2 linked regions of the Neodiprion lecontei genome follow. The protein of the gene in region 1 binds, or shares a complex with, the protein of each later gene. Links are inferred from orthologs where the notes say so. Each region holds a gene or a part of one and is shown on either strand. Other genes may lie near its edges.

Region 1 (4,884 bases):
GAACGGTTTCCGATAATAGGTTCGCTCGATTAGGCGAAGGAAAAAAAAAATACTAACGTACTATGACGATACGGCTATTTTTTCAACTTTCCCAATTCAGAACCATAAACGCGACGAAGGTAAGTAAGTATAGCTCCTCTAGTCTACATTGTACACTATACGCGTATACGCGTTCCTGTAGGATACATTGTAGAAAATTGCTTCTCTTCAACGAAGCGTATGCCTGATCGTATTATCGACTATATAACTTGATTTCGCCGTCGACTGATTGTGACTGACAAAATTTTGGCATCGATATAACCCATCACTTCGCTCCGGACAGTGTTTGCATATCACACCTTTGGACAGTTACACCGATATCCGGTTGATTTTAAATTAATGGATCCTACGTGTATTTAGATCTGCGAATAAAATTTGCATACACGTCGCGATTCTATCGCTGTCGAATTTCTCGCATGAAAATGCGTTTCATTTCAACAGTATGTAACATGGTACGTGTGGGTGCGGGCATTAAATACGAGCATCTGCGCGATTGTGTTCGTAAAGTGGCGAGGATCCGTCAATTTCTCATGTTATTCTTTACACTAGTGCTACGCTATTGTACGGAACGGACGTAATGACGATACGTAGTTGCGGATTCGAATATTTGCGTTAATGGATTGTCAAAGACTGCAGGCTTTCGATATCTCGCCGATCTACCCACACGTTTATAAATATATAACATGTGCGGTGTGTGCGCACTCGTCCTACGCACATACATACGCTGCTGCATAACTATACCTTCGTACAAACCATGTGCATACGGGGACGAGAACCACGGTAGTAAGGGGGAAGATAGGGGGGGGGGGCTACAGCCCAGCCAGCCGTCCTGGATGACAGACAGGATGCGAGGGTTCGCGATTCCGCGCGCCTTTCGGTGTGCCCGGCATTACGTGCTTCGGTGGCTCTGCCCGCGCTGCAGCTACGGCAGCGAGCGTCGGCGACGTCGTCGAGACATTTACCGGCGATCCGGCGACGATGACGCGACATTCCACCACTGCATACGAATTATGTACTACTTAACGTATTATATACCATATACGTTATATCATGTATATCTGCATATATAACCGATATATAGTATATACATACGTGTATATGAGCCGGAGACCTAGGCTCGGCGAAGAACGTACACCTACGGTATTGAATTCTGACCGCTTCAAGGCCACCCGTGTCGCGTGCTTCGCGGGTCAAATAAATGGTAGCAGAGCCCTGTAAAACGGTCGTAATCAAACACCGTGGCTGTACGTACGTACGCGTTAACGTACAACGCGCACGTTGTACATATGCTCGCGCAAAGATGCGAGAGCCTTTGTGAGATCGGGAAGCAGAGGCAACAGCTGCGACACTTGGTTCACTCGCGAGACCCGCATGATGCACCGTCGTCGCCGCGATGTATCCTGCAGGCTCTAAAAGCCGCAGAGACCCGACGGTCTTACCCACGTAGCATATAGCCGCATATACCTCCTCTTTCCTTCACCCCCAACCTCTCTCTTTCTCTCTCTCTCTCTCTCTCTCTCTCTCTCTCTCTCTCTCTCTCTCTCTCTTTCTCTTTCTATGTATACATATACCATTCGCACGAAATTTTCATGGTCAAAACCCACCCGCGCGGTCCTTCGGGGCTGCAGTAAACGGTTCCGCGTATTCCTACTGCTTCTAAGTCGCTAAGGTATAGGATGTACGGATAAGGTATATTAGGTAGTAGGTAGTAGGTAGTCGGGTACAGGCCGCAATATTCAACGGTCAATTCTATTTTAAGCTTAGTTGGGTGTGCGGCGGGCCAAGCATGTAGCTTCGGTACGCAATGCTGAAGTCGGTGAATGTCTCCATCTCTATCCTCCCGCTCATTTTCCATGTTCACCACACCTTCGATCCTTACCGGAGTATAAAGCATTGCTAAAGCAGCGCGGACGGATGGATACGATCTATCATCAGACATTCGAAGTAGATTCAGAACAATGTAAAGGAATAATCATTAGCTTGGTTGTTATCTTGGAAATGCAGGTCAAATTTTTTGAAACAAAATTTTAATGTTCACCTTCCGGCCCGAATGGGGTCCTTCCCGGAACGAATTATTTTGTCGAAATGTGTTCAATAAAGGAGTAATAAACAAGAGTTTACTTACATATCGTTAAGGCCAACAGGCCATTTCAGGCAATAATCATTATTGTACGCTGCAAGATACATTCGATCGCTAATTATGCGACCCGGCGAATGTTTGCCGAGCTTTGGTCCGTACCGGGACACGCTCTTGACCGATGAAAATCTATGCAAGAGAAAAATTTGTTGCTCTACAAATCATCCGCTCCATATTCACGGCCGAAAAGCTATTATTAAATGAAATCTATTGATAATGTGTGGTACGGTGCTTAGGCTCCGATTCCAATCAGTCGGTAGAGAGGGGAACGCGCAAGTTGTATCGCGTCCGGCCGTGTCGCATGCGTGCGTACGTACATAGGTACATCGTAATTGCATACGTCACATGATGCCCTGCTTAGCAGTGGTGTATTATTTTCGGCTACGTAAACTCGCGGTGTACTTCCTTACACGCGCGCTGCAGTTGTGTACAATCGGTGCGTCGGCGCTCCGGACCAACCCCAACGTGTAGACGAGAATGAGAGAAAGAGACAGCGAGTGAGAGAGAGAGAGAGAGAGAGAGAGAGAGAGAGAGAGAGAGAGAGAGATGTACAGTGGCAGTGAGTCTTGGCGCGAAACGTGAATTTGAATTTTGTAACGGAAATTCAATATTTTCCGCATGGGTTTGAGCATCGGCGTACCTCCTGCGTCATCATCAGCCGATTGACTGTCCTGTATGCGTAGTCGAACGTAAAGATGGTTAATTCCCGAATCAATCGATGATTATGAGATACGCATAACCTGATGGAAATTTGTATAATTGTGACGCATGTGTGCTCAGCACGAGGGGACGATAAGACATTCTTCGCAATCCATAGTCACACACGGATCTTCTCGATAATACGACATCTCTAAGTATGCATATAGTTGTGTGACAAACGAGAAATGGGTTACACGGCGGCGTGATACACAACGTAGTACGCTACGGTAGTTCCTAGGCATGCCGTGCGTGCAAGCGCGTATCGGTACGCCCATGGAGCAATGCGTAGGAATTTGCGGCTCTTGGAAGGTTCGTGTTTACTTTTGCAGAGATAAAAGGAGACCCTTAACCCTGCGGGTGACGGACGAGCCGACGGTCTTGCGGGCACGACGAGCCGGCGGGCGGATTATCGGACGGACCGACGGATCGTCAGACAAAAGGACAGGCCCAGGAGGCGACGGGAGGACGAAGGGTGGTCGCGGACAGGCTGGCAGGCTGGCAGGCAGGCGGGCGGGCGGGCAGGCAGGCATGGCAGGCAGGCAAGCAGGCAGGCTGGCAACAGGAAGCTCGCGATGCGTGACTCACCGCGAGCCAGCCGAACAACGTAGAGAACTAAACCGCGCGCGATCGCTCGCGTTCTCTCCGCGTGTTCGTTTCTTCGTACGGTACCCCCGTCAACCTGGGAATATCGTACGAACGTACGCGTGCATGTACGCAACCGTGGATGCCCATACATACTTAGGGTCTTCCCGGCCGCGGAGGGAATATAGTATATCGCGAGCGATTCGAGGTTGCCGCCGAGGCGTTTATTGGCGGCTGCTCCTGCGTCTATACGCACACGCGCGCACACGCATACTTGCGTTGTACGTACGCACCTTACGTACCTATGGCATAGACTTATTTGTCTGATCAGATTCGCGCGAGGCCGCGGTGAGGCGGTTTAAATCCGACTTGCGCGCACGACGGAGTCGCGCGACCAAATTGCGAGGTGGACGGCGATCGGGCAAAAACTGCGTCGAGGTGAGGACGGAGGGTAGAGGGGGCCGACCTTCCCGTCCGTCTCGCGAGAAGACCCGCGACCTCGCCATCAAGTAATCAACGCAACGGCACGCGGTCTCGACGCCCATGCTCCCCCTCATTGTACATATACACACTTTATCTATCTATAGTCGTATATGAATTGCAGGGATCGTAAATACGCGTTATAAGTCTGTACCTACGTGTCTACGTACATTTACGTGTACGTCCATACCTACATAATATATGTATTAACATTATATGCGGGTCATACGTTGTATTTATCGGTACCGCGTATGCGCGTCGACGTGTGATGAGAAAGAGCGGATCTAAGCAGCCACCTTAACAAAATCACGGCAAAGTACAGTAGTTTTCCAATCGTTTGCGTCGATTTAAACGTTCAGAGTTAGATTACCATCTAATCGGTGTACTGTGTTTACGCTATCAATTATCAATTTCACCTTCTTCCGTAAATGGTTCCCCTTTAGCTAACCCCTCACTTTTTATCCAAGAGAGAGAGAGAGAGAGAGAGAGAGAGAGAGAGAGAGAGAGAGAGAGAGAGAGAGAGAGAGAGAGAGAGAGAGAGAGAGAGAGAGAGAGAGAGAGAGAGAGAGAGAGAGAGAGAGAGAGAGAGAGGTTCGTTTAGACCCACTCTGCCCTACGCCGCGTACATACAAGGCATGAAAAAACACCGAGTTTGATCCAAGGCAACGTATGTATGGTACATTATACCTACCTATATATACACTCGAGGCGCAAATAGGGAATATAGTTGAAGAGAATATCGCGCGAGTGTAGAGCTAGCGAGAGGAGACGCTGCTTCTCTCACCTCGGGGCAAAATTTGTGCGCGTTCCAACGCGACCGAGTGAATTTAGGGTGGGCACATCTATACATGGGTGTGTGTGTGTGTGTGCGTGTGTGTGTACCGTCGACTAATAACAAGGGCGGCGCGAGGGGGCGGCCGGGGGACGGAAAGGCGGTGACCCGCGGT
Region 2 (3,379 bases), about 26 Mb from region 1:
TCGATTCTTCTTCATTGTTCATTTCATCATCTTTAGCCATTTCTTCCTTGACAGGATCAAGATTCTCATCATTTTGGTTTGCAGATTCAACTGGTTCAAGTTTTTCTAGTGGTTCGGAGCTATGTGAAACTTTGGTTTCTGGAGGCGTTTCCTCAACAAATTCTTCTTGTGGCTGCTGTTCCATTACGGTAGTCGAATGCTCTTCTGTTTTTTCAGGCACATTCACTTGTTGTTCTGTAGCGGTTTTCGTGAAATCAGATTGTACTTCAAATTGTGAAACAGGTTCTTCCATTTGCTGCGGACTCTCCTCCACACTTGCGAGAACGGATTCGACATGTTCTTCAGGCTGCGGCTCTATCTTCTCAGGGCTAACTGTATGTGATTCTTTCACTGGTGATCTTGTGGAGGGATCTGTAATATTTTCAGGCGTTGCAACTCGAGGAGGGACCTCAGGTTCGCGCGCATCTGGCTCGGGAGCTGGTTCCTCAGGTACAGGGGAAGGCTTCCTCTGTTCTTCCGGTGGTGGAGCTTTGGCTGGAGAAGGCGATTGTTTCGCCCTCGCAGCTGCTCTCGAAGGTGTTTTGGAAGGGCTGGTAGCTGAAGCGCTGCGAGCAGATCGCCCCCCGGGTGTTTTAGCGGTTGGTGAGGGTTTTGCAGGTTCCGGCTCTGGCGACTGCTCGTGTGGTTGTGCCTCCCTGGTATCCACACCTACCTCATCGTTCGACTCAGGGATCGTCGTTTCTTCGACTTCTAAATGAATGAAAAGTAACAAATAACACTGGAGCATACATAATTGAATTTGAGATTGTTGCGTTTCCTGATAATAAGTAAAATGGAAATCAGATGCATAAAAAATCACGGCGTCCTGAGGTAAGGAAGACAGGTTGGAAATAGGTTGGGATATCGGGGTGTTCCAATCGAGGAGTAAACAGTTTTCCGGCGCCAGTGACTAGACTGTATTAGACGCCGTGTTTGGACGCAATTTAAGCGGGAAACTACTGGGATAAGCAGTAACGCCTAGTGAGCGGTAAGCCGAATGTTTTCTTACGGTCTTCGGCTTCTTCGTCCTCCAAAGCCTTGCGGAGTCGCTCGACGAGGACAGCTTTATTTCCTTTGGTATCGAGACCGCGATGAGAGAGCTCTGCCCGCAGCTCGACCACTTTCAGCTTCGCGGGATCCATGGCGATGGATTTATTTATTTTACAAACAACCGCACAATATTTACTCGATCGAAAATGCTTTCAGGAATGAGCCATACACGCGACGGTGACCCGCGCTGCGCTCGCAATATGGCGGCGACATTGCAAACAATACGCGGAGTGATACGGCATATCCGATTGGCTCGTCGGACGCGAATTCGAAACGACGCCATTGCGACAGTCAATCAAACTTACTCTTTCATTTGACATATACCGACGAAAAGCGATCCGATTGGCCAAAGTAGGGATGTTTCGGGCGGCGGTAATTATGAACTGGCTTACAGCACACCCCGTGCAATTTTTTTTTTAGTTAATCTTCACACCCTAAATGTTCGTTCAGTTGTCGATGATGACATCCGCGGGATAAGAGCGCGAAAAAATACGTAATGAAATGAATTCTTTTCGCGATATCTTCTTTCCGTAATACACACACCATCGCGGTAACTCGCAGTAACGGTCTTAGGGGTGATTTTATTTGGTCAATATGGCGCAAGAACGAAATAGCGAGGTACGCCGCAGAAGTTCAGTAATGAAACGGGGATTGTCTTTATCAAGTTCGGAGGGTATCTTCTGTTCTTAAAGCTTAATTTTTTATCCCTTTGCATTAGCGTTCACATAATCGCATCGTCGGTCACGATTTTAGATTATGTTTTACGCTGATGCAATTCTTCTAACAGTCATTTCTGGTTATCGCACCTAAATCTAAATTTAACATTCAGAGTGGTGAATAACACAAGCTTATTTCACTAAAAGGGCCGAATCTATTGGAAAAACTGATACACAATGCATTTGACGTCTTTGACACTGCCAAAATCCAAGAAGTGGATGTCAGAGACTTGGGAACAATGATACGATCGCTAGGTAAGCACTAAAAGGGGAATACTCTTCAAACTAGAATGTAGCAAGTCTGAAACTGTCCTTCCTTGCATTTTTGACTGAAATTTATTTGCCTGGGTTACAGGATGTGTTATGACTGAGGCAGAATTGCAGGAAATTCAAGTTCAGTTGGAGGATGTGGAAAATAATTCCGTTTCACAATCCAGATTTGTAGAATATATGACTAAAACCATTAACGAACACAAGTGAGTCTGACTCTCTCCGCATACGTTGATCCAAGTATCATTGTCAGCAAGTAAGAGTCATGAATACCAAGTAGCAATTATGGAAAATTATCCTCAGATTAAAGCCAGCAGAACCTGAGGAATTATTGAAAGCATTCCAGCTATTTGATCCTGAAAACCACGGTTATATTATGAGAGATGATTTGGCAAAAGCACTGATGGAACTGGGAGAGCCTTTTACTCAAGATGAAGTAAACGAGATGATGTTTGTAGCTTGTGACCCCGCAACGAATAGAATCAACTATGAACACTTTATCAATCTGCTTATTGTGAGTATAGCTCGAGATTCAAAACATAATCCATGTAAAAGATCAGATTCAACGATTCTGTCCTTCTACCCGTTACATACAGAATTTCTGGTTTTTTCCCTGCATAGTTAAAATATCCGGATGATACCAATCCTTATAAAGTTGCCGATAAAATTGAGGCTGATCGGCTTGCGGCCATGCCTAAGAAACGAGGTTTGGGCAGCCTTATTGATGCCTCGGTACCTCATTGACACTGTCAAAATTATGAACAAAAGAAAATTAAACATAGTTTGTCCGTGAAATTCTCAAGTACATACAATATTACTATTTTTATAGTCACTGTGTAATAGCTAGACTATAATTACATTCTCAATGTACTTTTTGAGTATTGAAATCGATTTATTACCAAAAATAATTGATGTCCAATTGTAAGACTGATACTGCGATTTACGGATATGCAGTGATAAAAATATTGGCTATTAAACAGTCAAGTTCCCTAATTTATCTTTGTTTACATTGGTCATAGTTACAGAAAAACAGGTAGTCGGAACCTGATTTCGCTGACAAATAGTGGTCTCTATCCTTCACAGTTTGGAGAACACAGGCGCTTCCCCACTCTTGCTCACCTGTGCCATGACAGAGTTAGCAAGATCCTCACTTTGCAACATTACTTGATTGTACATGAGCTGAAAGCAGAAACCAAAATTACTAACAATAATTATAACTATCATTAATAACGATCATTAAGTACTCAGTTACTCAAATTCGAATCTTTGCAACTATGTTAATCCTGTAATTTTCGCTTATTTCT

Evidence for each region.
Region 2: dynein regulatory complex subunit 7-like (region 1) and dynein regulatory complex protein 8-like share a complex: the UniProt entries of both Homo sapiens proteins name them as parts of the nexin-dynein regulatory complex. The link is inferred for Neodiprion lecontei from reciprocal best matches to the Homo sapiens genes DRC7 and DRC8.

The regions. Positions count from the first base shown.
Region 1 is NC_060266.1:422,774-427,657, forward strand, and holds the start of dynein regulatory complex subunit 7-like, read left to right. Parts: upstream 1-1,837; 5' UTR 1,838-1,843; coding exon 1,844-1,855; intron 1,856-4,868; exon of another isoform or gene 4,869-4,884. UniProt on the Homo sapiens protein: Component of the nexin-dynein regulatory complex (N-DRC) a key regulator of ciliary/flagellar motility which maintains the alignment and integrity of the distal axoneme and regulates microtubule sliding in motile axonemes.
Region 2 is NC_060266.1:25,923,902-25,927,280, forward strand, and holds dynein regulatory complex protein 8-like, read left to right. Parts: upstream 1-1,646; 5' UTR 1,647-1,683; coding exon 1,684-1,762; intron 1,763-1,952; coding exon 1,953-2,060; intron 2,061-2,160; coding exon 2,161-2,281; intron 2,282-2,378; coding exon 2,379-2,589; intron 2,590-2,696; coding exon 2,697-2,819; downstream 2,820-3,379. Other genes in the region: heterogeneous nuclear ribonucleoprotein U-like protein 1, read right to left, coding at 1-750, 1,049-1,181; delta(3,5)-Delta(2,4)-dienoyl-CoA isomerase, mitochondrial, read right to left, coding at 3,153-3,254. UniProt on the Homo sapiens protein: Component of the nexin-dynein regulatory complex (N-DRC), a key regulator of ciliary/flagellar motility which maintains the alignment and integrity of the distal axoneme and regulates microtubule sliding in motile axonemes.